Linked DNA regions of Stegostoma tigrinum. The protein of the gene in region 1 binds, or shares a complex with, the protein of each later gene. Links are inferred from orthologs where the notes say so. Each region holds a gene or a part of one and is shown in the gene's direction. Other genes may lie near its edges. The genes, in order: troponin I, fast skeletal muscle-like; troponin C, skeletal muscle-like.

Region 1 (15,409 bases):
CATTGGGAAAAATACTTGTTTTTTTTTCTCCCATATTTCAGAGGCTTGCTTGGGGACCAACAAAGTTTCAGCTGAACTTTGTAAGCAGCGATCATACAATGTCAACATGCCTGGCCATAAGTAACTCTGAAGCATGCAGGTTTGTGCCATGTCTGAGTTCACAGCATGTTGTAATCATACAACTCAGATGTAATTTTTAATTAAAATCTATCCTAATTTATATATCAGGAGAATCCCAACAGGAGAATCACTTCTACAAAAGCAGGCATGCTAACTGTACAAATGTTACACGAGGCAATGAAATTTCTTCAAATGCAATAAAATAATTTTGTTTGTCAGAGCCTCAAAAGACATCAAATGGTAATAAATGTAAACAAAATATTCACAGTAGTACAACAGTATCTGGAAAGTTGAGGATCAATATTATATTTTAAGTGAAGACCTTTTTTTCATTTCAGTTATTCAGCTTTCTAACATTCAACCTTTACATTTTGTGACTATGTAAGTTTGTGGTTATGCTGTGCTGCCTGTTTGAGATCAGTAACAACTTTAATAGCACTCCACAGCTGCCTCCCTCTAGGTCTGAGTGTCAGTAGAGGTCACTGCAAATGCTTGCTAGTATAGTATTGACACAGCACCCTTTGTAATCAACTTACTTTGAGAGCTGCTAGTGCAATGTTGTAAATGTGCAGAGTTGAATCTTTACGGAAACAGAATGATTTCCTTGTTTTCTTCTCACACTGTAGATCTGTCAGAAGATCAACAGAACTCCAGTAAAATGGCATTGATCATTGATCAAGATGATCATTGTCAGCTATTTACTCCATTTCTCTGGGGTCCTCTTGACCTTGCACCAAAATTCCAGCAACCCCTCCAGAGATACAAGGTGAAGGTTAGGCTTAAGTTTACAAAATATTGAGGCTTCACAGAGCTCACAAACACTTCTAAAATCTACTTAATATGCATTGAGTTTCTGCTTCATGTGGTATCACGCCCAAAAGATACAGCACCCACAAGATCTCTCAGGTTTGAATCTCTTTCTAAAAGTATCTTACCTATTTTTGCATTGCTGTGAGGTGGAACCTACTTTGCAACAAATGGGACAATATCACTGCAGTTAACATCCTCAGAAAATGATTAGTTCTATTTCCTTCCCTCTATTTCTCCTTTTCATATGAAGAGCAGTTGAGGATTCTGGTTCTGATCTCATTGGAGATTTGAAAGATGAGAGGCGAGTCTCATTGAAACTCTCAGAATACTGAAGGGCCTAGATAAAGTGGGTGTGCAGAATATGTTTCCACTAGTAGGAGAGATAAAGGATCCAAGGACACAGCCTCAGAATGAAGGGACAATTCTTTACTGCTGAAATGAGGAGGAATTTCTTCAGCCAGAAGGTGTTGAATCTGTTTAACTCCTTGCCACAGAAGGCTATGGAGAACAAGTCACTGAATGTGTTTAAGACAGAGAGAGGTAGGTTCTTGATTAGTAGGGCGGAATCAAAGGCTACAGGGAGAAGGCAGGAGAAAGGGGTTAAGAAAAATATTAGACACGACTGAACGGCAGAGCAGACTTGATGGGCAATATGACATTATCCAATACCTAATGGTTTTATGGTCTTCCTGAATACTTAACTTTTGTGATAAAAGGAAATTTAAATTCAAATACATCAATTGCTTGCTGATGCATTAACTGAGTTCATGCAGGACTAAAACCGTTAGTTTGGACAGTGAAATATCAGTTTATTCATCTTGATTAATCAAGTATCCTTCAGAAGGGTGAAACTTATCACAGACAATTTTAAAGGGTCTCTGCAGCTCAATGGTTCCTTGAAATTGTCTTGCAGCTGATTTATTTATACTCTAAACACACAGCTCGGGTATTTCTGGAGACTGGAGTCGATTGGTCTAAGGAGAACTCATTGCCATAAAGAGAAAGTCGTGTTTTGCTGACCCATCACAGAAAGCAATTTATACTGCTTGCTTTTGAAAACTGTCTGTGGCTTACCAGACTTCACCTCAGCTCTCTAGTCTCACTGCCCTCTGTTCGGCTTCTGTGTCCCAGGTGAGCTTTAATTTTGATTTGCTATTACTTCCTATATCCCCTTAATAATTGCCTGTTTAGCCATATATTAATATTTTCAACCTGTTGCCCACATTTTATGATTGAAAGCCCTTGTATTTTGATTTAAAGGTTTTTCAAAAGTATTTAAAATGTAATTGTGACCATTTGTGCAGAAAATAAAACAAAATTGAGTCTGTGGTTGTGATTTAATATTTTTCTTTACAAATTAAATGTTATTTGATATGTAAACTTTTTTTTGAAACTATTCAAAATAATCTCTCTCACAAGAATATGTCCAATTAAGCATGTTGTTGTTTTTAATAATTATTACATACAACAAAGGATGTTAAAGAATGACAACACTTTAATAATTTTACATAAGAACATCATAATTTCACAATTTCAAAGTTAAGGTTTGCATTTTTCTTTACTGGTTAATTGTTTTCATCAGTAGAAGCAGGGGAGTAAAAGTTTGGAGACGTTCTCCAGCTTTTGCAAAGTGAAAGCTTGGTTTCTTCAGCATTTTTCCTGCACACTAGTATTTTTCACTTTCAACTGGCTTTAGGCTGTGTGAGATTGAGAAATGACTGGCCCTAAGGATCTCATTGACGTGCACCTGTTCCCCTTGGTACACTGACCAAATTTAGAAACACTTTCTCAAATTAATTTTCAAATGCCTCCCATTCTTCAGGATATAGTTTCTACACAGCTCATCTTTCCCTCTTGGGTCAGATTTTGAGAAGTGTTACAAGTCAGCCAATACTTCAACGTTGAGATCTTCTTTTCCATCTCCACATTGATTAATTGAGTATCTCTGCAACACCAACAATAGCATCTTTGTATAGGAATATTATCATTGAGGATATATGGATCAATCATTATCAGTAAAATAGCTACATGAAGTTAAATGACTAAGTTGGTAATTTTATTTTTTTATTAACAGGTCATAAAACACAACCATCAAAATGGGAGAGTGAGTATTACCTGTTGTTTAAAAAATTGTTTTTAGTTTGTACTATTTCTGGTATAACAGAAATAAAACTGAGAAATTAATTTCAAAATTGACACATGTTCAGTTCAGATTAACAGGAGGAATAAACAGACCACATGCTGCTTGCATTAGGCCAGATTTTAACTCATTCAAAATCCAGGGCCTTTGTTGTTTAAATTGGGATTTAATGAAAATCTGAACAGGATAGTGGATCAGAAGGATTTTGGAAGTACAAATACACAAATTTATAAATGAAGTAACATTTTATTAAGGCTACAGAAAAGGAAACCATGCATTTGCATTCTTTTCCAGAGGAATAGAACTGACAAAAGTAGGTTTGTTATCCTTGTTTTGAAATATAATTAGATTAATGTAGAGAACTGAGCAAAATTCTAGTATCTGCATTATTTAGATATATTGGAAAAGGTGCAAAAAAAATCCTTGGGAATGGTACCAGAACTGAGAAGATATAAACAGCAAAAAAGGTTCAACAAGCTGGGGCTTCTTTTTTCTAGAAAATAGAAATCTGAGAGAAGGCACTTAAGATAATAAAAAGGGAGGTAAAATGTTTCTGTTTGTGCAGAAAGCAAAAATGGAAGTCATAAACGTAAAATAGTTGCAATTAGTTTCAGTAGGAAATTCAGGAGCAAGTTCTTTGTCCAAAGATGGTACAAATGTGGAAAATTATGAGCAAGTGCATTGATTTGAGTAAGGGGAAGTTAGGTAATTATGTGAGGAGGGAAATCAATAGAAGGATAGGGTGGTATTGTTATACAAAGCAGGTTGGCAAGAGACTCGGGTACAGCGTAACAACCAGTCAGATCAAATAATCTGTTTCTGTAATGTAAGAGCTGTAAAACTATATTTAATCTCTAGCTAAAGTTATACATTTCTGGCACCTGATATCTTTGAGGTGATAATCAATGAAATGTGGAGAATTTGAACTTTGTGCAGATTCTAATGAGTTGTTCTTTTCCTTTACAGTGACGAGGTAAGATGTTGGGTGCTAATCCCATTGCAAAGTGTTTGTGGCTGTTTGATACTTCTGGAATGAATGTAATCTTTTTCATAACTCAAAGCTTCCATTCATTGTGCTGTCCAAATCATTTCAAAATAGTGCTCTCTGCTCTAATAGAGTAATGCTGTCATTAAAATATCTGGGAAATCTAATACTATCTGTGTGAACAAGCAAAGCACTTTTCTTTTGTCGTAGTAAATTACCACAATAGTGAGCATGGGAAATGGTTGTGCTTTCTGCACTTGACCCATGAGACCAATTATAAAGATCATCCTTCCAAAGCTGGGCTGCGTGTAGAGCTATACAATGTACAGATTAAGTCAAGTGACTTTGCTGCTGAAGATGGTGATGATAGTGCAAATGAAGCTGATGAATTACGAGGGACATAGAGTGCATAAGTGAAATATAACGAATGCTAGAAATCTGAAGTAAGAATTGAAAATACTAGGGATACTTAGCAGCTCTGGCAGCATCGGTGGAAGGAGAGCCATTTCAGTTTGATGATCTTTCATCAGGCTGGCTTTCATGAACATTTGAAATGAAGGACTGGTTCTTGCTGCATTTATTTCTTCCTTTCTGTTGAAGATGGTGACTGATACTCAGGCACTGTGCAATGGGAAACCTCAGTTACTTGACAGGCAAAAAGAATAAAATTTGGTAGGCTATGAAATTAGAATCCACAACATGATGACGGAGAGTCTGTTAATCTGCAATTACATTTTCTGTTTCTTGTCAAGAGACTGCGATATGAGGGCAATAATTATCTTACTTGAGCTCAGTGCTTCAGTGTTACAATTAAATGCCAAATTTTAAAGCAGCGTGCAGGAACCCATGGCAGGGAATCATATCTTTAAATCTCTAAAGGTGGTAGGCCAAGTTACATAGGCTGTTTAACAGAAGCAGGCACTAAGTGCAATAGAAGGGCACATGTGGTAATCCTTATAAATCACTTGTTATATAATGTGTGCGTATCTATTCTCTGAATAATTCCTGGAAGAACAGACTGGGCCTCAACCATATAACCAACAATCATTGCTTTCAAGTCATGAGGCTATGCAAATTCTTCCCAGCCATCAGAGAAAAAAATCTGTAACTAGAATGAAGATTCTTAATCTGCCTTATTTTAAACAAAGTGAGAATTGCAAGATAACAGAGGCCCTGTTTTATTGCTGTCGCCAGTTCTCTGGAGTTTACCTCAGGTTAGATGCACAACTTCCACGACACTTGGAAGTATTAAATAAAGCTTTTGTATTCAGTTGATACACATTTATTTTTCCTTTGGTCTCAAAAATATTGTACCATTTCTCAAGCAGTTTCCCCTTTGTTTGCTGGTTGCAAAAAGGGTATCTTCCGGACACTCAACATGCTGCTATCATCACATTGGTCACATTACATTTAAATTCAGATTGCTGATTGCAAAGTGACTATGATTCAGTAAATTGCCAATTGTTAAGATCAGTGATCAGTCTTAGCTATCCTATCAGTTCTGAGGAAGGGTCATCGGGCCCGAAACTTTAACTCTGTATTTTCCTTCACAGATGCTGCCAGGCCTGTGTGCTTTTCCAGCAATTTTGTTTTTATTCTTAGGTATTTTATCATCAGGCGATGTTAAGATAGAATCATCCATTGTTTGGTGATGACACAAGCTGTATCACATCTCAGCAGTTCATTATTAGTTAAAATATTATTTAACTGCTTTCTTTATGTTTCAGTAGGTACAGCACAGCTCAGTAATCATTCAGTGCAGAATTGTCTTAAAATTTGATCCTCTTTTTGGTGCTCATTTAACCTCTTCATACTTGAATTTTGATAGAAGTGATATGAATGGCCTGAACTTATAGTCTACTCAGGCTCCCAAGACAATACATATAAATTCTATCATTATGTAAACTGATTCAACCCTATTTTGTCTGACAAATTATTTTTGTCTCAATTTTTCAACGCTCTTTACCTGAAGACAACACTTAATAGTGAGGTTTAGTCGAAAAGTGGAAGCCAATTTATAATTAACGCTTTAATCCCAGCTTCAGAATGACATTCCTCACCTCTGCAGGAGAAACAATTTGACAGTAAAGCTATCTTAAAATGTTGATTTACATACGGAATCTTTGAAGTCAGGTGATCTATTCTCAGAAATTACAAATGAAATTCAGACAAGAAGACTGGCTACTCCAGGCTGATTGAAGTGAAGTCCAATAGACTTCTAGATTACTACTGTCGATCACTACTGCTTACCACTTTGACAATGTTCCAAACTGGATCCTGTTCCAATACAGGGAGTGCCGGGGTATGTAGGAAGGAATCAAAAATACAATAGGCCCATGAGCCAAGAAAATGGTTTAATGAAAACCAAAGATAGAGAAGGACAGCACTGATTACAACAAATCAATGGAGAGATGGGTGAAACACTGCCTTTAGTTGTACTCCAGGTAAATCACCATCATCAGGGAGATCTTGTAAGCCATAGACAGTCTGTCCATCATGCAACAGCTGTATGCTAAACCCACAGTGAATGTACTTAGCGAAGATTTTGACTCATTTGTCATCGAAAAACTGCATGTAATGGCACAATACTGCTTGAACTCATCAAGCATGAATGTGTCCTTGCTTGAGGGAGGATGTAGTTATTCCATGTGTACATGAAGCTAAGTTTGTGATCCTGCACAAGAACATGGGTGAATGCAGTGATTATAACCATCGAAGCAGCTCCCTGCTAAGCAGTCTGGGAAAAGTATTTGCCCATGTTGCCCTTGCCAGACTACAGATCCTGGTTGAATGCATCTATCCCAAATTCCTGTGTCATTTCAGTTCTGTAAAATCTATAATCAATATGATCTTCTCCATCCAGTGGCTGTGAGAACAATGCCATGAACAAAGGAAAGCATTATACATTTCCTTCATTAACCTTGCCAAGACTTTCACCCAAGGGAGTACTGATTACATAGTTCGGCTGCTGGAGAAAATTGGCTGCCACTTAAGTTTGCTGACTATAATATCTTCTTTTCGATGAGAATATGAGGAGTAAGGTTCACTTAACTCTGAAGGGTCACACTGGAAACCTTTGAGATTTGCAGTGGGTCAAACAGTGTTGTGTCCTCATACTACTGCAGTCATATGCGTTGTGATCATTTACTAACAGCTTGCACTTACATCGCAAAACAGATGTAAAACTGTTCGGCTTTGCCCATCTGAAATCCGAGGAAAGGGGCTGTCATGCCCAAAGCAGAGATTTATCCTATGCTGATCGACAATTTCATATCAAGAAACAGCTTCAGTGGCAAATGGACAGAGCACTTAAAACCGCTAAAGAATTTCGCTTGACCATTAACATCAGCAAGATACATGTCATAGTCCGGAATTTTACCATAACATCATTCATCAGCTGTATTCACAATGTGACCCCGGAGGTTGTTGACAGTTTCACATATCCAGCCTCCACAATCCCCAACAATCTGTCACTCGATGCTGAAGTCAACACACTCCTCATGAAAGCTGTAACTGTTCTATTGAAGTGGAGTCAGAGTATGGAACAGCAGCAAGCTGACTGAGCACAGTAAACTGCAGGTTTACTGAGCCAGTCTTCTCACCTTACCCCGCTTCGACGTGAAACCTGAACAACTCATGCCATGCACATGAAAACACTGAGCAGCACCCACATTTGCTTTCTCAGGCATAACCGTGGCATATTTTCGCAGGGGGGGCACCAACCCAGCAGTCCTGGTATATGTTTATTCCAAAGCATTTGCTCATCACTGGATCAACAATATCTGTGCCGGCTGGGCCAGTTTCATTAGTTGGATAGTAGATGTATGTCCAAAGCCATACTGGATGGTAAACTGGTCACTGTGTCAATACCTGCTGGAAGTCCATACCTCCACTGCAACAAACCCTGCAGGAAAGATATGATAATAGTGAACATGGACAATGACAGAGACAATGGTCGCTGTGAACCTTGAGGCTTACTAGCCAGAAGGACATTGAAAGAGGCAAGAAAAAGATCTCAACTGACTGAACCTACTGCATTCACTCGTGTTAAATGTAGCATAGGCAGCCAATGGTACTCGTGAATCACACTGGGTGATGCTTAACACAGAGCTGACCAGTAAGCCACATCCCATAGGCTTGGATATGCAAGACTGTCATTATTTTTATTTTTTTTTGACTATTTTCAAACTGAATTTAAATTGCCATGGAAACATTTGAACTCAAGTTAATTACATTAACATCTAAATTGAACTGACTGAAAGTGTAACAGCCTCTTCAATGGTGGTGAAAGACAAATTGGTTGGGTTTGAACAACTAAAACTTCACGGATAATCATGAGAATATACGGCAGAGCAATATTTTTAAACAGTAAAGTATTATTCGTTAAATGGTAACCTTAATAGTATAAGAGATAATGGGAACTGCAGATGCTGGAGATTCCAAGATAATAAAATGTGAGGCTGGATGAACACAGCAGGCCAAGCAGCATCTCAGGAGCACAAAAGCTGACGTTTCGGGCCTAGACCCTTCATCATCTGATGAAGGGTCTAGGCCTGAAACGTCAGCTTTTGTGCTCCTGAGATGCTGCTTGGCCTGCTGTGTTCATCCAGCCTCACATTTTATTACCTTAATAGTATAGATCTTTGTTAAAGAGCAGATTTATCTGTAGGATTCAAGACTGTCCTATCAGAAGCCTGCGCTGTATATGGCAAGTTGTAGTCTTGCTCAAACTGACCAATGAGGAGGTTTGCTATGTACCTAAGAATGGTGCAGTCTAATGAAGCTTGAGCGCTTGGGGAGGGTCTTTTGCACTGATCAAGCAGTAGATTGTCTTGTTAGATAAGTATGACAGGAGGTGCCTCTTTTCATTATTTTAACAATTAAAATATTTATATACTTTCAGAATGGGTCACCATTCTGAAGGAACATTGCCTCCACAGTGAGGCCAGTGGCTTGTATGCATAGTCCTGGCCCTTCCACCTCGCTCTAATGCTGAGGGGGAGAATTGCCTATGGGATGCCTGTCAGTGTGTAGCCCAGCCTAGGCTATGTCCCCAAACATATCTCTGGGAAAATGACCCAGAATGGGATAATACCAGGAAACTGACACATTGGACCTAGGCCATCCCTGCTGTCTTCAAGGCATCACTATTCAGTTTCTTTTTGGGGAGAAAGATGGAATAAGTCCAGTGGTTGAGTCACATGAAGCCTGGCTTTTAAAATAGTGTAGTTTTGTTGGAAAATGGTTTGTTGGAATGCAATTCTGAGATGATTTGTTTGACTGTAAGAGACTTCACACTAATAGCATGTCCCTTTGTTCTGCCAACCATTTGAAATAATCTGTTTTTAACTTACTTTCCGATCCTTCTCCCTTTTTTCTGTTCCTTGATCATGACAGAAAAAATCCAAGATGACCTCTTCTCGCAGAATGCATCTGAAGGTAACTTTTCAGCCTATTATGCATTTTCTTTATCCTGAGTATAATGTGAAATGTCTAAATAGTTTCTCATATAACTTGCATTTCTTATGTATTTTAGAGTTTACTGCTGTCCCTTGCCAAAGCTGCACTTGAGAAGGAAGAAGCAGATCGGGTAGCAGAGAAGGAGAGGTATATGGAAGAACATTGTGGACATCTGCAGACTTCTGGGCTTTCAATGGCAGAGCTGCAGGTTAATACAAAATCATTTTCTGAAAAATCCATCTATGTTTCTCCTTGTTAGATTGTAGAGTTGAATTATCTGCAATTAGGGAACATGGACAAAATTCTTTGGCCAAGTCAACATAGCGGAATGTTTTCCATTAACAGTCTGGGCAATTATCTGTACTTTCACCAAGAAAATGGGAAATACTGTTTTAATTATCAATTATATCACTTGAATACAGTCCCAAACCCATGACTTGCTAAACAAATATATTTTATGATGGTGATTTTTGTGTTCACATGCACTCAAATCCATGTTGTCTTTAACAACCAAATGATCTAATTTGTAAAATTTAATACAGTAATTCACAAATCTCAACCACAAGAAATTTTCTTTTTTTTCCATATTTTCTCTCTTATAACGCATCTCTCATTGAACAGCCCACACCATAGTTGGAAAAGTAGGTCCGCTTCCAAGGTCTCACTGTCTACTCACTATCACTATCAGTGCGGCACGGTGGCTCAGTGGTTAGCACAATTGCCTCACAGTGCCAGGAACATGGGTTTGATTCCAATCATGGGTGACTGGGTAGCGTTTGTATGTTCTCCTGTGTCTGCATGGATTTCCTCCCACAGTCCAAAAATGTGCAGTTTAGGTGAATTGGCCATGCTAAATTGCTCTGTAGTGTCCAGGCATGTGCAGACTAAATGTGTTATCCACGGCAAAAATGAGGGATTACAGGGATAGGGTGCGATTCTCATGGAGACTCAAGGGGCCAAATGACTCCAATCGATATTGTAGGGATTTTATTCTGTTCTGCAGGAGGACCCAGAGGAAAAGGCTGCTTTATTGGTAGAAGCAGACATTTTCATTTCCCTTTGTGGGAACTGCCTTGAGAACCTATTTCAGTTAAAGCATATATTTTGAATAAGCCTTTTCAAAAAAACCTTCCCCTTCTGTACCTTAGCTGGGAATTTAGTGCAAACAGAGTTTCTGGACCGCTTTTGATAAAACGACAATGACGCAGCAGTACTCCCAAGGAAATTGAGGCCCAATGGTTCATCTCCTTCGTGCTGACATCTCATTGACTCTTCCAGCTCTTTAATACCACTTGGCAATCAATTATTTCTTCCGATCTGAACTTATTGGTCCACCCAATGTAATTCCCAAAAGGCCTTTTGTCGATCCCAGTTATGAAATGAGTGAGCTTAAAACCACACTGCAATAGCACAATGAAACAAAAGAGCCAGTGTTATTGCAATGTTGAACTTTCTCACGTCTGTCTCAACAGGACTTGTGCAGGAAACTTCATGCAAAGATAGATGTTGTTGATGAGGAGAGATATGACATGGAATCCAAAGTTGCTAAGACCACCAAAGAGGTAATGTCACCTTTTTAAATACCCCTCACAAGCACCCTCACCATCGTTTGTTCTTTTTTGGAGAAACATTTTAGATTGATACAAAGCACTAAGCAATATAATGTCCTTTGACACTTAAACCTGTACCCACGTTGCTGCAACATATGAATGAGCGGTAACGTAAAGCATTTATATTGGGAACAAGGGCAGAATTGAGGAGACAAAAAGAAATCAACTTATGGATGACAATCATGAAGTAATCACTGGTGAGGGCTTTGAAGTTGTGAAATGAACTAATAATAAATTAGCAGCTCATTTTACACCGCATCCCATCTTCTTCTCCGCAGAAGTGCCAAGTGATTCATAGCCCTAATCTGCATTATTCACATTAAACAATTTTGCTTAAATCTTGTTAATAGAACATAACATGAGAAAGTGTGAAATGAGAAATGCTCATTCAGCAGTTTGTTCATCCACAAAGCAATGGCTGATTAACTTAGTCATGGGTATAACCCCATCAAATTAATCTGAGTAAAAATTTGTTGATTCCTTAAACTTCTGTAAAACACAATATTTGTGTAATAGATGTTGGCCTAATACAAAATTGTAAGAGAAGCAGTTGGCAGCATTTCCAATTTCACCTAAGGGACACCCAAGAGATCCTCCAAGAGCTGTGTAGATAGGTTTGCAGCAAATATCTAAGCAATTTAGAGGTTCTCTGTATGTGTAGAACACTGAAAAAAGAACCAGGTAGTCTGAGCATTCAATAACTTCCAACAGAAATGAAAATTCTCAAGAATTTAGAACTAAAGGGCACAGTTTAAGAGTAAGCAGTATCTCATTTCAAACTGACATGAGGAGGTGTTTCTTCTGTTAAAGAGTCATTAATTTTTGGAATTCTGTTTCCCACTTAATATGTACATGACCAAGCTTGACAAATCTTTGATCAGCAAGTGAGTGAGGTTTATGAGTCACAGGCAGGCAAGTGGAGTTAAGACCACAGTCAGATCAGCCAAGATCTTACTGAATGATGAAGGAGGCTTCATGGACTACATGGCTTATTCCAGCCTCCTTTTTTTACAATTATTGGTCGTAAATGTTCATGTAGTTACTGCTAGTCTTTGGGCCCTGCAGCTTCACTCTTTTGCTGCTCCCCAATCCCAGTGTAAGATGCAACCTGGGCAATCCTGTGCCCAGAGACAATCAAACAAAGTAAATGTTCAGGCCTAGGGAATCAACCTTTATCACCGTGCCGTTTGGGCATTAATTCCATACTTGCCTCCAGAGGAAGCGTACTCCACTAGAAAAATGGTGTACCTGATTATAACAGGCAATAATGAGGATGCAGGCCCAATACAAGGATTGTGGAGTGGTGGAGTTGTGGAAGGGATGTGCAAAAGTGGTGGAGTGGCACTCTGCTTCTCTTTGTTTCATGTAACAGACTACAGTTCATACCTCCCTAATCCAGTAGTATTGGGAGCAAATCGTTATTAGACAGTGTATTTTGTCAGACTACAGAAGGTGATATGTCAGGGTTAGCACGGGTGTTATTAAACAAATTCTTTCTCTACTCCTGACCCTCTTCTACAGTGCTGAAAGTACTGACTTGTGCAAGGTATAAATCTGTGAAGATGAGGGAGAGGTGATCAAAGCTGAGAACTCCTGCATATTGCTCTTTAAACTACCTTTCAACAGTTAAATGCAGGGAAATCTTCCTTGCTGCACTGCAAAATGTGTTTTGTTTAGAAAACTGGAATTACTGCAGGTGCTGGATCCCAGAACTTGCTGCACCAGAGAGTGTGAGATTAGGTAGGTACAATCTGTATTAGAATAGGAGGTTAAAATTTACTTCAGTTGGCAATGACCTTGGCCACTGGAAAATCCTAGACAGGACACACCCAACAAACGCTCCTCAAGCAGTCAACAAATTTTGTATCTGGGCCTTTCAGTATGTGTTACACTATTCACTTTCATATTCACAGCATCAAGCTCCCATTTTAGGTAGCTTTCTGCTTATAAAAAGGATACAATGATTGGTTGCAATTGCTTGCACTGCTAAATTAGCATGTTTTACATTTATGGTACATGCAATAAGCACAACATGTTCCAATTTCTACACTATGCAAAGCAGAATACTTGTTTGCAACTATGAATTGAGGAAAAATGGTATCAAACTTGCTCACTGAAGTAAAATGACCACAGCACAGAGACAGACGTAGTTCTGGTATTTCCACTTTTCTCTCATTTTTTAACATAATCACTTCCACAAGGATACAGGGATGATGAATGCATTATAGTAGTGCAGCAAAATATTCACAATGCCCATGAGAAAGTTTCAAATGATTGTGACAAAGTCAGTTGTTTTCTTACAATACATAATCGATTTTTGTTTATTATCTTTACTCAAGCATCCACTTGATAAAAATCAATGAAGTTCTGTGGTGAATAAATAGAATACTGAGTGTGATCAATGAAAAACTAAGTTGCATTCTTTAGAACAGGATCAACATTGCATTTTCTCTAAGCAGAATAGAGCAACAATTTCCATATTGTATAGGAGAATTCTTTGGTATGAAGTAACAGAAAACTAAGCTTGTTTTATTGTATTCTTGATTAATATTATCATCTTTGAGTACCAAAGTTTGTAAGGGTCTATTGAAGGAAAATGTTATACTTGGATATGGGAAGATGTTACACTTAGCATAGGTTTCTTCTGGGTGCTCCGGTTTCCTCCCACGGTCCAACGATGTGCAGGGTAGCATCTAGGGGTGTGTAAATTAGGTGGATTAGCATAGGAAATGCCAGGTCACAGAGAACGGCTATGGGAATGGGTCTGGGTAGGATGCTTTTCAGAGGGGTGGTGTGGACTTGTTTGGCCCAATGGTCTGTTTCCACATTGTGGGAATTCTATAATTCTATGACATCTACTGGGAAGCATGTTGATGGTGGATTAATGTAAAAATTTTAAAGGCAAGTTTCCAGAATGGCACCAACAACTAAATCAAGAAATAATCAATAAGAGGTGTTAAACTTTGTTGTTTTTTTTTAAGCAGGCTTGCCCTCCCTGAATGTTCCTTTTATAGCATTTTCTAGAAAATTATCAGGAATTTTCTTCTCCCTTTAAATGCTCTGACTATGATTAACTCTTGAAAACTTTGCAAATTGTATCAGGACTTCACCCTGCATAAATAATGAGAGGAAATAAACTGGGATTGGGATGTGGAAACTCCTCAAGCATGAATAAGACATTCCAAATCCAAGTTCAACACAATGAGAATGAAGGAAATCCTAAGGTTGTGGAGCATCTCTTATTTGCATCCCATAATATGTTTGATCCATTTACAACAACAGCTTATGTCTTTACATAGTGACTTTAATATAACAAAAGTCTCAAAGCATTTCACAGGAGCATTGTAAAATAAAGGAGGTAAGCAAGCCACATGAGAGATACAGGTGACTAAAAGCTTAGTTAAAGAACTAGTCAGTTTTAAGATAACAAGGTGAGAGCTGGATGAACACAGCAGGCCAAGCAGCATCAGAGGAGCGGGAAGGCTGACTTTTCGGGTTTTGACCCTTCTTCTTCAGACTTCCGAAGAAGGGTCTCGGCCCGAAAGGTCAGCCTTCCCGCTCCTCTGATGCTGCTTGGCCTGCTGTGTTCATCCAGCTCTCCACCTTGTTATCTCAGATTCTCCAGCATCAGCAGTTCACACTATCTCTGAGTCAGTTCTAAGAACTGTCTTAAAGGAGAAAAAGGTATGGCAAGAGATGGAGAAGTGGTGAGCTTGAGGACTATGTAAATATTTATTCGGAACTCATCAATATTGCAGATTGACGACCTGAACTTGAAAGTTTTTGACCTGAAAGGCAAATTCAAGAGGCCACCACTCAAGAGAGTCCGTATGTCTGCTGATGCCATGCTACGCGCTCTGCTGGGCTCCAAACACAAGGTGTCCATGGACTTGAGAGCTAATCTGAAACAAGTGAAGAAAGAGGACACTGAGAAGGAGAAGGTAAGACAACATTCCTGAAAATGATGGCTGAAATTTCACTTCTCCCTTTGATAGTTTATACCTGCGTACTAGCCACTTAAAGACAAGTATTGGATCAAATTGCTTGAATTCTGTCTCTAACAGAACTTTGGATGTACCAACATCCCACAGATTGCAATTTATTTTAGAAGTCAGATCGTTTCCACTTTCTCCAGGGCATTTTGAAGAGGCAACAAATTCTGGCCTTGCCTGCATTGCCAATCCATGAATGTTTTTTTTTAATCTTAATGAGTCAATCACAAGGAAATCCATATATAGTTATAGATCAACATCACCTCTTCCTCCCTCTCCACCTTCTGAAGTT
Region 2 (16,150 bases), on another chromosome or scaffold:
GCCTCCCCCTCTCTCCCTATTTATTCCAGAACCCTCTCCCCATCCCCCTATCTGATGAAGGGTCCAGGCCCGAAACGTCAGCTTTTGTGCTCCTGAGATGCTGCTTGGTCTGCTGTGTTCATCCAGCCTCACACTTTATTATCTCAGATTCTCCAGCATCTGCAGTTCCCATTATCTCTGATACTATTTTAACCTCACTGCGAAGCCTCTTCCAGGGATGCCTAAACTGAAGAAGTTACCCTCCTCCGTCCGGACCAACCTCAGGGAATCTCTCTCCCATTGCAACTCTCTTGTAATCTCTTCGGCCTTGAAACTGCTAGACCATGTCCTGAAGACTCTCCATCTTCGGTCCACCTCCCCCTCTCTCCCTATTTATTCCAGTTCCCTCTCCCCATCCCCCTCTCTGTTGAAGGGTCTAGGCCCGAAACGTCAGCTTTTGTGCTCCTGAGATGCTGCTTGGCCTGCTGTGTTCATCCAGCCTCACATTTTATTATCCCAAGCCAGTGAACATTTCATGTTCTGAGCCGGTTTGGAGAAGTTTGAAACTTTTTTGTTATTAGGCAAAGCCATTTGACTAAATCTACAAATATTCAAAGTCCTGGCAACATTTAAGAAAGCCAGAAAGCATAAATTAGTACAACTACGATTAGTTGTGAGGCCACTAGTGAAAGGCTTATATGAGGAATAAGAGATAACAAGGCATAGAGCTGGAGGAACACAGCAGGCCAAGCAGCATCAGAGGAGCAGGAAAGCTGACGTTTCGGGTCTGGACCATCAGATAAAAATATGAGGAATAAGTCGTTCTGTTTTGCCCAAAGTTACCTCTTACAAGGCACTCACCGCAAAGAAGAACTATCAGCAACAAAGACACCAGATCAGAGTTAGTGGTGGAAAACGGAGTCACATCGTCAATTAAATTTGCTATACAAGATCATTCACATTAAAGTGTGTGAATGAAAACAAAATACTTCCAATGTTGGAAATCTGAAATAAAAACAGACCCATTAGAGTTTCTCGGTGCCAAAGGAGAATTATTAGACTCAAAAAGTCAATTCTGTTCTTCTCTCTCCATAGACGGTGACAGATGTACTGAGTTTCTCCAGCATTTTCTGTCATCATTACATTAAAATGTGGCTTCTAACTCCCAAGACACACACAAAAAAAGCTTAATTCCAGAATCTTGAGCGTATATCCTTTGTTCGCCCAAGCAGTATTCAACTGGGTGTGGCATCAAGGGAACTGAATTCAACTCTCTGTTGGTTGTAGCTATGCCCAGCTCAAAGGAAGATGGTTGTAGTTTTGGGGGTATCTTAATAGAAGGACGTTATCCTGATGAAGGAGAGCAATATCCCAGGTCACATTATATTCAGCTGCTTCATCAATGACCTTTCCTCAATCATAAGGTTAGAGATGGGATGATGATTGTACAGTTATAATTTCCATGTACAACTCTTCAAATACTGAAGCAATTGATGATCACATGCAACAATTATTGTTGTGGCACATTACAATTGCACCACACAGTTGTCAGGTAATGAGTCAACCCTTGATGTGTAATGGTATTACTGTTACTGAGTCCCCAACTATTAATATTCTGAGGTCGCCATTCACTAAACAAGTCTCTAGCCTTTACATACATTATTTGTCTACAAAAGTAGAGCAGAGGCTGAAAATTCTGTGGCAGGAAACCCACCTTCTCTCATTTTCTGATTTTCCAGAGCTATTCCATGACTTAGAAGGCACAGTCTCGGATGGTAATGGTGTATTCTTCATACGTCTTGATTTAAAAAAAAACACTCAAGAAGGCAGACAATTAAAAGCAGTCCACATGATGAACACTCCATTCACCATTGTATACATTCACTCTAAGCCTCTTCTAGTGCTGTGGCAGTGTTCCTACCTCTGGGTCAGGAAGTATGGGTTCAAGTCCTATCTGCAGCAGAGGTGTGTCATAACTTGCTTGAACAGGATAATTCAATATATCAACACATCCACTCACTGCTTTTGTCACTGACACATTAGCAGCGGTCTATATCATCTACCTGACACACTGTAGCAACATCACTGGAGGAAGGGGAGGATGGTCTTCCCTAAATATCCTCATCCCCAATGTTTGGGAGCCCAGCACATCAGTACAAATGACAAGGCTGAAGCATTTATATTTATCTTGAACTAGAAAACCGAGTTCACAATCCATCTCAGCATCTTCCTGTGGTCACCTTCATGTGATATCAAAAAATAGTTGAAGGCACTGACAACATTCTAGCAATAGAACTGAAGTGTTCTTCAAAATTAGCCACTCATTCAGTGAAGTTATTCCAGTCCAGCTACAACACTAACATCTACTCCACAGTGTGAAAAATAGCCTAAGTATGTCTGCTACATAAAAAGCTGGATAGTTCCAATACAGCCAAACATAACCTATCAGTCTACTCTTAATCATGAGAAAGTTGATGGAAGCTGTCATCAACAGTGTTGTATAATAGCACTTTCTCAATAATAACTTTGGATTTTATTAGATCTTCTCAGATCCTAACATCAATACAGCCTTGGTCCAAATATGAACAAAAGTTAAAATTAAGGAGAGAACTGACAGTGATTACTTTGACATGAAGGCAGCATTTAAGCAAGTGTTGCATCATGAAGCCCTAGCAAATCTGAAGTCAATGGGAATTAGGGAGCATGGCAGGGGCCAGCAACTACTATTTGGAGCCATACTTGGCACAAAAGGAAGATGGTTGTGCTTGTTGGAGGTCAATCATTGATGAACGAAGCTCCAACAACACTCAAGAACCTCAACAATCGAGGACATTGTAGTCCACTTGATTATCACTGTGTCCAACAACTTCAACATTCATTCCTTTCACTACTAATGTATAGTGGCAGCAGTGTGTACCATCTACAAGATGCACTTCAACAACTCATCAAAGCTCCCTGGGCAGCATCTTCCACAGTTCTGTCCTCTATCATCTAGAAGTCCAAGGGCAGCAGATACAGGGGTGAGGGGAGTGCCACTATCTGCATCATCTTGACTTGGAAACATATAACTGTTTCTTCACTATTGCTGGCTCAAAATCTTGAACTCCTCCCCAAAAAGATCTATTAGTTGTACCTGCACTACATGGATTGCAACAGTTCAAGGAGGCAACTCACTGTCACCTTCTGATGGGGCAATCAGGGATGTTCTCTCGTGCTGGCCTAGCTAGCAACACCTATATCCCATGAATCAGTTTAGAAAAAAAAACTATCACAGCTCGCTCAACAACATTTTCCAAACCCATCACTTCTACTACTACAAGAACAAGAAGCATATGAGAATACCACAACATGCAGGTTGTATTCTCAGCCATGCACGATATTGATGTGTAAATATCTCACTGTTATTTTACTAATCTTCACTCAAGGGCCTGGGACTATCTTCCTAAGGGTACATGGATTTAGCTAAACCACAGGTACTTTGATATTCAAAAAGGAACTGCTCACCTTTGTCTTCTCAACCACAATTCAGGATGGGTAAAAATGCTGAACTTGCTATAAATGCTCACATCCCATGAATAAATAAAATAAAATAAGATGTTTAATGATGTGTTTTATATAACATAACTTGTTCTTATCTTTTTGTTGTAAATTTTTTGAATGCAACATAGGTACCTTTGAAAAAAAAAGATACATGAACTGAACTTTGTGAATGTGGCTGAGAAAAGCAGGCATTGATCTCCTTCACTGTTCATGGCCCAGCTGTCATCAACCATCACACTGTCAGCAGTGAATTCCCTTTCACTCACCGCCTGTCCTCTCAAACATTCCGGACTTATCTCCTTTGAAAAGTATCTCTAAAATGCATGGCAGCTGCTTGTAACAAGAAACCAGGCTTGAAAATTGACTTTAGTTCCTGATATCTTGTTCACACATGAAAGTACTGGATCAATAAATACATAAATTGTAATCTAATTTGATTAAACTAAAGACTAAATTTCCTGTCTTAGGATGAAAGTCAAGATATTGTTTGTTCACTTATTATCGTTTTGTGTGCTAAGTGGTAAAGTTATGGCAATATTCTGCAGAAAGATTATTTTGTTTGTTATGCAGAAATGTTTGAGTTGACATCTGTCTAATGTAAAGATTGAGACTCAAGAGTGGGAACAACCTGATTACTCTTGTTCTGCGTTGGCTGTAATGTAATGTTATTTTAAAAATCAGACCACAAGTACAATTATAATTGTTTTGATGCATATACAATCACACCATTAGTAGGAAAATTCAGGTATGCAGCCAAAAAAAAGCCATACAAACGTAGCAGCAAATATATATATACAAACATGTTGGAAAATGCAAATACACCTGTACTGGCATACATGTCATAGACAAATACAAGCATATAATTAAGGAATAATAACAAGTAAAAATTCACACAAAAATACAAAATAACCTGCAATATCAAATACAAGCAAACAGGTCATAGGCAATTAGCAGTATAGCCAAAGACAGAAAGTAGTATGCATGTCATAATCGAATACATGTGCACACCACTGAAAAACATAGGTACCACCTCAATATTAATACAAATATACCCATCACATCACATCTATAGATCCCATAACTGGCAGATCTGGGAACATAATTTATTACAAGAAATACAGGAACCCATTACAGACAAATATAGATCAGACTATAATGAACATTAGGGGTACACATGTCATGCATAAATACAGGTTTACCCTGTCACAAATAAAACAGACATACCCATCACAAACATGTACCTGTGTCAAAGACAAATACTTATATATACATCACAGAAATATACAGGTAGACTTGCAGTTAGCAAATGTAGGTATATCTATCACAGCCAAATACAGGTACACCTGTAAAGACATGAAACAAAAAACAACATAGACATACACAGGTACACTAGCCATAGAGAAGTAAAATTATGCTAATCTTAGAGAGGTAACGTATACCCAAAATCAGACAAACACAGTTTACAGATAACAGAAAAAAAGATATATTCTTCCACATAAAATTATTAAAACTGTCCATTACAGGTATGCACTGAAATCCTTATTACTTACAATTACAAATATACCTGTCACTATCTAATGCAGAAAAAATCTTCACAGCCAGATATAGTTAGTTATATTTGCCACACATAGGGGAGGCAATGGCCTAGTGGTATTATCGCTAGATTGTTAATTCAGAGATTTAGATAATGTTCTGGGGACTTGGATTTGAATCTCGCCACAGCAGATGGTGGAAATTGAATTCAATAAATATCTGGAATTAAGAAACTAATGATGACTGTGAATCCATTGAAAGAAAACCCCTTGGTTCACCAACGTCTTTTAGGGAAGGAAACTGCAATCCTTACCTGGACTTGCCTGCACATGACTCCAGACCCACAGCAATGTAGGTGACTCTTACCAGCCCTCTGGGCAATTAGGAATTGGCAATAAATGCTGCCTAGCCAGTGACGCCCTCATTCCATGAATGAACAAAAGCTCAAGGGCAGGTATATTCCTAATAAAAATGTGCAAATAAACTCCTCAAAGACAAGTTTAGGCATAAGTATCATATATCAAACAGATATACCCTTATAAGACATTCCCAGCAATATACAGATATGCAATGGATAAATATAAGTTTGCCCATCATAGAAGAAAAGATAGGATACACCAAATATATACAAATACACCCGTAATGGGATCATTTCTATCTGAGAGACTGTTGGTGATTTCTTCATTTGGATTTGAAAATGTCAATGCACAAAATGCAAAAATGATACAATTATCTAAGATTTCTTCTGATCTTTTAAACAGTTAATAAAAGTGTGGGCATGTATGTGAAGGGACATGAACTACTGATTGAAATGAAATAAACAGTATTGAAATTTAAAGAATTGAGTCGATATCTTGTAAGAAAAATGTGTTCAATATAAAGACAGACTTTGGCTTGGTTCTGAAACATAAAATGATAATGTGTAAAATAAATACGAGCAACATTTTTACCAATCATATGATGGGCATGCTATACTTAACCACCACAACTGCCATTTCCCCAACTGCCCTCCCCGACTCCTCCACACAAACAAAAAATTACATTTCACCCAACATGTCTGACAGTTTGAATTTTCAGTACTATTCTGTGGAAAACCTCATTGCTTTGGTGTTAGCTCAGCTTCAGTTTGTCGCACATTCACCTTTGCATCAAAGGTTCAAGGTTCAGATCTCATTTCAGATCCTTAATATAAAACACAAAATCAATTTGATACCCCAGAGCAATGTTTGGGAGGTGGTGACGGGGTTGCTTTCTTTCAGATGAGATTCTACACTGAGAATCTGGCTGCCACCTCTAGTGAATGTATAACACCCTACTGGAAACAAAAACAGAAGTTTCTGGAAAAGCTCAGCAGGTCTGGCAGCATCTGTGAAGAGAAATCAGAGCTAACATTTGGGCCTGGTGACCCTATTGCTGTTTTGACACCATCACCTTAATAAGTTGTTATGTTCTCTCTACCTTAATTATTCTGTACAGTTTTGGATTACTTATTAATTTGGTTACACCCGCGGCATGCAACTCTTATACCTATCATGTTTTTCCAGTCATTTGGTTTGTCTCCAGCACCACCTGATATTAATTTTTTTTTGTAATTATATCTCTGCCTCATTTAATTGGATTATAAGTCATCCCTTCACTTATTATTCAGCTGCTGACACATTACTCAGACTGTCTGACACTTTTGATCATCTGCAGAGACTTATTACTCGAGCCTCCACTCATGCCATTTATATGATTATTTGATCTCTCCACCCTCGATCTCTCTGCCTATAAATTCTGTGACTGTGTGCTACTCTCTCACATCACCTGATGAAGGGGCTAGGCTCTGAAAGCTTGTGATTTCAACCTGGTGTAGTGTGACTTCTGACTGTTGTTGTGAAGAGCAGGGGAATTAGCTCCAGTAAATAAAAACCAAAAAAAACCCTGTGGATCCCATAAATCAGAAATGAAAAGTGAAATTGCTGCATAAACTCAGCAGGTCTGGCAGCATCTGTGAAGAGAAATCAGAGTTAACGTTTCGGGTCTGATGACCTTTCTGAGGAATGGCCTAAAATTGATTTCTCTTCACAAATACTGCCAGATCTGCTAAGCTTTTCCAGAAATTTCTGTTTTTGTTTGTGATTTGTTCCAGTAGCCTTATTCCACTATCAATATCACTATCTTCTTGTTTGTGGGATTTCTACAAGCTGATAGCCACTTTCCCAAATTACAACACTAACTGTGCTTCCAAAGTACAGTGCATCAATATATTTTGCGAAGTCAAGCAATGTGCTGTATGGATGCAAATGCTACGTTTATTGGTTGAAGGCAAATACAGCAATATAGCAAATGATTATTTAAACGTCGCCATTAAGGTGCCTTTCCAGCTCCGACGTGGCATTTTCATAGGATTGGACTTGTTCCAATCTCGCTTACTCACCCTGAATTCCATGCTGAGGAAGAATTGGGCTTCGTTTGCATTTGGATACTGTTTGGCTCGTTTTGAATCTGATGACTGATTTGATTTGTTAAACAGGCCGATTTCGTGACAGCAGGACCTGAAACTCATTCCAATTGTCCAAACATTTGGCCAGAGCCGCTCAGAATTCCTAGCAGTTCCTGGCTTCCAGCAGCCACAGCATTTTGACTTTACGTAATCGCAGGGATTCCTATTAAAATTCTTTCAACTGTTAAACGCAGCCATAGACGGCCGCTGCATGGGTATGAACGATCCAACAGAAAAGTAAAGGTTTAACCTGGAATGGCCCCTAGAAAAGGACTCTCTCCAGCTTTCAAAATTGTTATTGGAATAAAAAGATCGAAGTGTCGATTTGCCCATTCAAACACTGCTACTTCCAGGATTTAGTTACGGGAAGAAAAGCCTATCATTGAGATATCTGGTTCAAACACCAGCGATTGATCCGGGACACTGTTGATCTCGGGGCCCGAAGTGGGGTCGATCTTTGTACATGACCAAGATACTGAGTCATTTCAGGATGAGTACAGTGCTCCACGTGGCCCCGAGAATAGCTATTATCATCAAATGTTTTGTAGTTAAATAATGACGGGCAGTTAACGAACAAACTGGATCTATCGCATACCTGAGGGGCCTCGATCAGTCCCTTTATATAGCTTGTTTCGGACAGAGCCCACCCTCGCCCGGTTGTAAAAAGAGGACACGTGCCCACCTCGCAATCTCACTATTGGTTTTTCTACAAGCCAGGTCAGAGATGCTGAAATCTCACTGGATATTCGGCCAATTAAAGAAAGAGGGCAAGTTAAAAGCTGAGGAGAAAAAAGATTAGCTTTCTAGTAGGAGTTGTGGAGGAGAGGCGTTTCAATTTAACCTGAGTTTCTGTGGCGCCCTAATAAGCCAGGACAATGGTAAGCATACACATTAAATTCATGTTTCCAATGTGTTGTTTCATTAATTCCAGCGTCATGCTGATATCATCCCGCTTCGCTCCTGTAGCGCATATAATAAGATAGAGTAAGATATATATATATATTTAAATCGGCGAACAGTGTCTCCGTGCACAATTCGAGATGTCCAATTTCTTTTTTTAAAGTTCAACAGCTACTTTAAAATAAAAGGTGGAAAGTACATTATAGCCAAACGAAGCAAAACAAAAAGTAACGGTACACGGTACTTGGTGTCGCGCGTCTTCAACAACAAAACCATATTACCTGCTAGCGAGTTCCGGAAAACCAGCAAATGCGGAAACAGCAGGGACTCACGGCGAGAATTCAACAAAGTAGCCTGGATATTGCTATGGGGTTTTGTTTTAGAGGTGGAAAAACAATACCTTGCAATTGGACATAGTCATGATATAAAATGTTTGCAAAGGGAAGAAAATGCACAATGTGCCTTCCACCTTTTTCTTTAAAAAATACATTAAAAATTCAGAGATGTAGCTATCTGGTATAAAAAAGGGAAATTTATTTTAAGGATATGCTTTTGCTAACATCATTTGACAGCTATAGCGTGAAAACGCCAGGTGCCACCAGAGTAAACAAAATAAACCTTCAGATTAGTACAACTCGCGAATCAACGTTGCTACTGTCGACGCCTTAACTGCCACAAACAAAAATAAACAAGCAAAATGATGTTACAAAGTAAGAGATCGCTTCCCGTTTTTGTTTGTTTCTCTCTGTGAATTTCTCCGTGAATTGTGAGCACGGTTCCTCAAGAGCTCTCGCCGACCTCTAGTACCTGCAAGAGGGAACGAAACGGATAAAAAGCGGAAGATTCGCGTTATAAATAGAGTGAAAGGGGGTCTTCTTCACTTACGAGGCACATTCCTGTGGCTAAAGTTTCTGGATTAAGGCCGTCGCTCATCAGGGAGCTCCGAGTTTTCCGCCTTCTCGACCTTTAATGGGCTGGCGGATTTGGAAATGCTTGCAGCAAAGCACGAGGAGAAACGCGGACACACGTTCCCAGGTTACACACGTATGTGTTTCAACGGAGCGTGTGCAGAGTCACCCGGAGCTCTCAAACTCCCGGGAATAATTCCGAACAAACTGTCGCCGACTTTAGATGACAAGGCGCGTGCACTACTCCGACTAAAAACTGTTGACAATCGCCTTTATTTGTATTAGAGGGGAAAGTAGAATGCGCAGTGAAATGATTATTTGCATCGTGGTGTTTGGTTGTTTCTGTTTAATGAGTTCAGTCAGATATTTGAACCACTCACTGTGACAGTGTATCGAGTGAACCGAAGAGTACAGCCAAGCCATCTCAACTTGCTGATGTCTTCAAACTCCACACTCTCTCCTGGCTAATTTAAACCTCTGACAGGAGGAGTCTTCAGACAAGACTGATTTCCCCATTTTGGGAAGAACCCCTTCAAGCAGTTAAAAATATCTCATCTTCTGTTCCATCATAAGATCTCTCGTCTATGCCAATCACTTACCTTCTCTCCGTGGTACCTACTGCCACCCACTGATTCCTCAAATCTGGTCTGTATCTAATTGGAGACATTTAGTTTTTGATCCGTTCACCTCAATCATAAAAACGGGGCACGTTAAACAAACGCCGTGCGTTCGTTTAAACATAGAATTTTAAACGAGACCTTTTTTAAAAAAAATTCTCTCGTCCAATATTCTGGGAGTTCTGGCTTTAAAATTTTACATGGCAGTTAAGCATTCCAAATGAGCTACATGTGGTTTGCAAAACGTTAACCAATTTCAAATGTTCTGCATCTCACAGTCACAAAGATTTTTTCGATATAAACCTGCAGACGAGCGAAACTTGATTCAACTGTTCAACGCGATACTCAACAGTAATTTTGACAACTCGCCAATGGGCGAGGAACCCGCACAATCAGGCGAGACTCGAGTTGTAAGTCTCGCCCAATATTCCTCTCCATTTATACCAATAGAACGGAACTGGTGGTGCGTAAAATCGGCGTTCCACCGGATCTGGTCAGTTTCCGAAGAATAAGTTAAAATCACACCAGCCACCATCCCGCAGCCCCCGCCGCCCCCATTGGATGATCCCGATGTTTTCCGTTTCACCTTTTACTTCCTGAACATTTTCTTTTGCGCTCTCAGCAAAATTCTTCTCCCTCCCCTCAACAACCCCACCCCCCCTTCCTATCTTACCGCAATCTGATTTGCTGTTGGAGAAAGCCGACGTCGGCTGGATTCCCGAGGTAAATTTACAGACCAAGTGGCATCCATACTGTCGCCACCGCTGAAGTCAGGAGTATAGGTTGTCCAAAAAAAAAGCCGAGGTAAGAACCGTTCGTTTCAATCCGTGTACGTCGAAATCAGTCGAGTTAGGGTGGGAATAAAGTGGCACAGGAACTCAAATGCGCACCGTTCTTTCTGCCTTTTGAGGCTATTTGCATTGTACTTCACTGCGGAGCACATCATTCTCCTGCAGCTAGCTAAGTCATTGCACATCTCTAACATGTTCTGTCTATTTGAAATCAGTGCCAAGAAGTGGCAAGCCTTGCAAAGTTCTACTTCAGTCGTAGTGCAGATCGTTTCTGTGAATGTGCGTTATAACTGGTGTGAATTGAGCGAAGATGAAGCTGAGCTACTCCACTGCTTGAGATACATTGGGTTTCAGTGCCGACTCGAGAAGCCCCCACCTGCCCGTTACTCCAACTATGACTTTGCTTCAAGACAGAACTTTTCCAACCCATTTCAATTCGGCCACCGTCTTGAAATCCGAGTTGAAAGAAGCGGATATGTGATATAATCATTTTGCTTTGTTTGTTTAGAATTGGAGACCCGAGACGAGGTAAACATGAGAGGATGAAACGAAAATGCTCAAATGTTCTGATATCATTTATTCACCCCATTTCTCTTCTGGCAGTAATTCATTTCTTCGAATTCGTTGTTTTCCCAAATGAACTGTTAACGCGCTTTAAGGTGAGGTTTCAAGCGTGAGATCGTAGGCACGCCCCCCCCCCCCCCCCCAGTGCTGAAAGAAAATCGTGGATTTTGACCCATTCACATGGAACTGTTGCAAGTCGGGTACTGTTTGAAGGGGACTTTGCATGTGGTGCTGCCATGTATTTGCTGCCCTCGTTCTTCTATGTGGTAGAGGTCATGAATTTGGAAAGTGCTGCTGGTGAGATCATGAAGTGCATTTTGAAGATGGTACCCTTTGCTGCCAGTGTGTATTGATGGTGACAGTGGTAGATGTGGTGACTCTCTGGTTTCTTTGCCTTAGATGGTGTCAAGCTTCTTGGTGGAGCTGCACTCATCCAGGCCAAAGTAGAGTATTCCATCATACTCCTGACCTATAAATAATAAAGGGAGTTTTGGGAAGATGGAATGTGAATTAATCACTGCAGAGTTCCAAGCTAACTTGACTTGACCCAGAGCATACTTGGCTAATCTAGCTCAGCTTCTGGTCACTGGTAACTCTTTGGATGTTGATACTGGTGAATTCAGTGATGGTTATTCCATTAAAAATCCAGAAGTTATGATTAGATTCCGTCTTATTGGAGATTGTAATTGCTGGCACATTTGTGGTGTAAATGTTATCTGCCACTTCATCAGCTGAAGTTGGACTGTTGTCCAGATGTTGCTGCATATGGACACAGACTGCTTCAGTATCTGAGAAGTTGAGATGCAGACCTAACTGAATGAAGGCCTGTAAGGTGCCCCACTGTTTTTTATAATTCAATTATTCAACACATTCACTGCCTTTTTTACCCTTCCTTAACAATGACCACTTGCTGTTCTTGATGTTAAACATGATTGGAATTTCCCCTTTCTTGTGCACTTTACATTGTGCATAAATTGGAGAATCAGTCCATTCATTTTTGAGCGGTTAGACAAAATTGTCACGGCATAGTGCACCTCAAAAAGGTACTACAAGATTGTCTGGGTTTATATTTCGACAACCTATTGCCCACAAGCAGCAATGTTAAAAGTAGGTAGTAAGGGATCAAATCCTTACCACTAACTAAATTGACGAAAGAATGAATGCGGTCATTCTTTTGCATGGGTGAACACAGTAGAGTTACTAGTGACAACAGACACAGTTCAGTTTCATAGATGCCATGGCTCTTGCTGCAGCAAGTGACTCAAGTCCTAACTCCGCAAAGCCTTTCCACTACATAGGAAAGAAGAGTGTGATGGTATATTTTTCGCTTGCTTGGATGAATGTTACTATAATACTCTCTCTATTGCGTACACTGTAGACACTCATATTGTCTCCTAAACCTGCAACTTGTACTAGCCAGAAGGGTAGCAACAACAATTACATGGACGCAGTATCACATCCAAATCATGCCATTCTAATTTAGACATATAACATTGGTCCTTCATTATTGGCAGGTAAATGAGCAGAAATCACCTACATAACAACACTATGGAAATGCACTCAGCCAAAGAACATTATCTTTTCATATGCAACTAGGGCTGGGCAATGAAATCTAATGTGTCTGGAAATACACATATTACCTAAAATGACTATTTAAATCTAATTACTGGAGGTGATGTAACATAAAGCTGTCAGTTAAACTCCTGTATTATCTTTATTTATCTTTTCATTCGGCTTTTTGACCTGAAATTCAACAAGGATGGGAACAGTTTGGATTATGCTGGAATTAAGCCAGCATAATGTAATACATAGCAGCTGGCTGTGTCAGAAGATTGCCTAAAGGAGAGAAAGAGAAGTTTGAGACCTTTAAAAGGTTACAAGATGCAACTTAATGACCTGTGCTAAATTTAGTAGTAACCTTTTAAGATTGCTCTGTTGGAATAACTATTTATAGAAAGATAGTCTCTTTGACTCTGGTTATACAGTACATAAGCAAATGAGAGTAGGCTACTAGTTCAATGGATCAGGGTTATTATTGCTACTAAGCCTTAATAACACTGTCTTATCAATTGGAAAGCTGGTTCTAGGCTCTAGATTTTGTACAAGTTGGGATCATTGGCACCACGGTGCAATCATAAATCATGTGAGTGAGTTTAGAATTTTTAGGAGACAAGACAGAATTATTTCTTAAAGTAATATAGCTGGGAATTATAAAGCAGTTGAGGAGCATTGCAAGATCTGGCCAAGAGCAATGCATCTGATTCAAATATCATGACAACAAGGCTTTTGCTGGCCTTCATCAATGTGCCCAACAGCTATGGCTGTAGCTTGCTTTGACCCTAGACTTATTTTCACTTTTGTAAACCTGTGTGTCAAGCTGATAGGAATTTCACTGATATAATCACATTTATAAACAGAATATCAACCTTTTGCTTCTGTGCCTGTTGGGAAAGATATTATTAACGTGGAGTGAGTGCTGAAGAGGTTTACCAGGATGTTGCCGGGTATGGAAAGTTTGAGTACTAAATAAAGGCTGGATAGATTGGGACCTTTGTCTGGAGCGTAGGATGTTGATAGGTGGCCTTACAGAAGTTTATAAAATCATGAGGGGTATAGGGAGGGTTAATAGTCAGTGCCTTTTCCCCAGGATGGGGTATTTTGAGACTAGGGAGCATATTTTTAAGGTGAGTGCAGAGAGATTTTAAAAAGATATGATGGGCATTTTTTTTACTCAGAGGGTGGTTAGCATGTGGTGTGAATTTCCAGAGGAAGTGGTGGATGTTGACACAATTACAATATTTAAATGACATTTGGATAAGTTTTGGAGGATATAGACCAGGAGCAGGCAGGTGGGACTAGTTTAGTTTGGGATTATGTTCAACATGGACTGCTTGGACTGTCCATGCTGTATGACACTGACTTTATGATTCTCTGTTCTTTCTGAATGGCTTGGTGATGAGCTGCATATCCATACTAGATTTAGATACAAAAGTCAGTTTCTGTTTTCATTTTGGAGTTGACAGCTGTGAAGAGCATTAGCATCATTTCATCCCAATTCTTAAACCTGTTTCTTGCTTGAAGTACTTCTCAATATAATATCAAGATAATTAACACATAGAAAGGATCTCCCAGTTCTGAAATAAAAGATTTCCTTTTCTTTCATCCACTTTTTTCCCTATTTTTAATGTTCTGATTTTAGGTATGACCACTGCCTAGACAGGAAACCTAACTTTAAGAGTTACATTTTAAGAGGTCTTAAGGGCCAACCTTGATAATTCTCAGCTTGCTTTGAATATGGACAACATTGCTTGGTTGAGCTTGTCAAGCATCATTCCAATAATAATAAGGAAAGAAAATTAAAAACTATCCACTTCAGAAGAAACTAAAGCATTTAAGTTTATGTAAAGTGGAAAATGAATGAGAAGGCTACAACATAAGACTACATCATATTGGGGAATGGGCTAACACTGTAAACATCAGACCTCGATGAAAGTAACATCATCCCTGGGTACAGAAACTTCCAAGTTGATCTCGGTCAGTCTTCCTGCTTGTTAGCCTGAGTAACATCCTGGTTTTGGCTGAGATATTTGCTAGGGTTCAAAACTGCCTTGAAGTACAAAAATGTCGACCATAAGTCAGAGATGTAGTTGAAAAGTTTCCTTTAAGACTTTCTTGGGACCAATTAGACATGACCAGTCTCAAGGACACTCAGTTCCCAAGAAAGATTGTGTTTTAAAAGAAAACACAAGTTAGATGGTGAAAATAGGAGGACGTTTGACTCTGACTAAATTTTAGTCGGGAATTGCATTCTGTCAAAGGATATGTGATGGCTAGTTCTCCCATCATGAATTAACTGGATAGTATAGATTGCAGTCTGGATGGGAAACTATAGTTTGAATACTTTAAGGGGTTCACCTTGCTTCCAAATAGCTACTCTTGGTTAACATTATCTAACTAAGGAAGACAAGAAGAGCAATACTTCCAACAAGTGGGCATTATGCTGTGTTTATCTAAATGCTGTCCCAGCAGCAGTTAACGGAACTATCTAGGGAAATGAACCCCAAAGAAGCATAGGAATGGATTGGTACAACACTGGGTCCACTTGCTAAATGAGACATGCTGTAAACTTGGATGCAGTTAAGTTATGGATCAGTTATGGTAAAGGAGAACACCAAATACAGCAAGGTGCTTGAGAGCGTGAACAGTCTCTTCCTGATTTTGTTTTGTTGGATATCTAAAATATACATATAAAAAAACCCTTCAAACATGACTCCACAACAGGCCTCATCACTATCTTTTCAAACCCAAGGCGCCATTGCATACCACGGGTGCAGTTCAGAATTTGAACTTCATCTGATTACTGGTTTGAGGCTGCATGGCGCACTGTCTGTCAGACATTGGGGGTGAAGGCACACAGAGAATGCACTGGTTATTCAATAATAGGCTGAAGGTACTGGAGGCCACCTCACCCACAGCTGTGATGTCCGACTTGGCCAACATTGGCAACTTTTCTACCAGCCATGACACAAAGCCAACACAGCGTATTTTCAGTGCAGCCTCTAAAGTGTGTGCCTTTTATAGACAGCATTGATATTTTCTAGTTAACCTGTTCAATTCCATTAAGACACACATCTGAAGTAGGTGGGACTTGAAGCCAGTTCTCCTGGCTCAGACAGAAGGACATTATCACTTTGTCACAAGAGGCCTAAAGACAACATTAATGTTCAAATTAGCTTATCCACAGCTGGAGAATGTCTGTTTCTCTGATGCATGAACCCTTTTATGACATGGAGGCGCCGGTGTTGGATCAGGGTGGACAAAGCCAAAAATCAC

Evidence for each region.
Region 2: the proteins of troponin I, fast skeletal muscle-like (region 1) and troponin C, skeletal muscle-like are in contact, whole or in part, in a crystal structure (PDB 1A2X), measured with the Oryctolagus cuniculus proteins. The link is inferred for Stegostoma tigrinum from reciprocal best matches to the Homo sapiens genes TNNI2 and TNNC2. Residues at the interface, in NP_001076252.1 of Oryctolagus cuniculus: Glu5, Asn8, Arg9, Ile11, Thr12, Arg14, Arg15, Gln16, His17, Leu18, Lys19, Ser20, Val21, Met22, Leu23, Ile25, Ala26, Glu29, Leu30, Glu33; in NP_001076114.1 of Oryctolagus cuniculus: Ser13, Glu15, Met16, Ala18, Glu19, Ala22, Lys91, Leu96, Glu98, Cys99, Arg101, Ile102, Phe103, Arg105, Ile119, Phe120, Ala122, Ser123, Glu125, His126, Val127, Glu131, Ser134, Leu135, Asp138, Phe152, Met155, Met156, Val159, Gln160.

What each region holds. Positions count from the first base shown.
Region 1 is NC_081370.1:22,090,904-22,106,312, reverse strand, and holds the start of troponin I, fast skeletal muscle-like, read left to right. Parts: upstream 1-9,358; 5' UTR 9,359-9,464; coding exon 9,465-9,494; intron 9,495-9,591; coding exon 9,592-9,723; intron 9,724-10,987; coding exon 10,988-11,077; intron 11,078-14,883; coding exon 14,884-15,066; intron 15,067-15,409. UniProt on the Homo sapiens protein: Troponin I is the inhibitory subunit of troponin, the thin filament regulatory complex which confers calcium-sensitivity to striated muscle actomyosin ATPase activity.
Region 2 is NC_081372.1:51,800,505-51,816,654, forward strand, and holds the start of troponin C, skeletal muscle-like, read left to right. Parts: upstream 1-8,306; 5' UTR 8,307-8,412; coding exon 8,413-8,415; intron 8,416-10,688; exon of another isoform or gene 10,689-10,766; intron 10,767-16,150. UniProt on the Homo sapiens protein: Troponin is the central regulatory protein of striated muscle contraction. Tn consists of three components: Tn-I which is the inhibitor of actomyosin ATPase, Tn-T which contains the binding site for tropomyosin and Tn-C.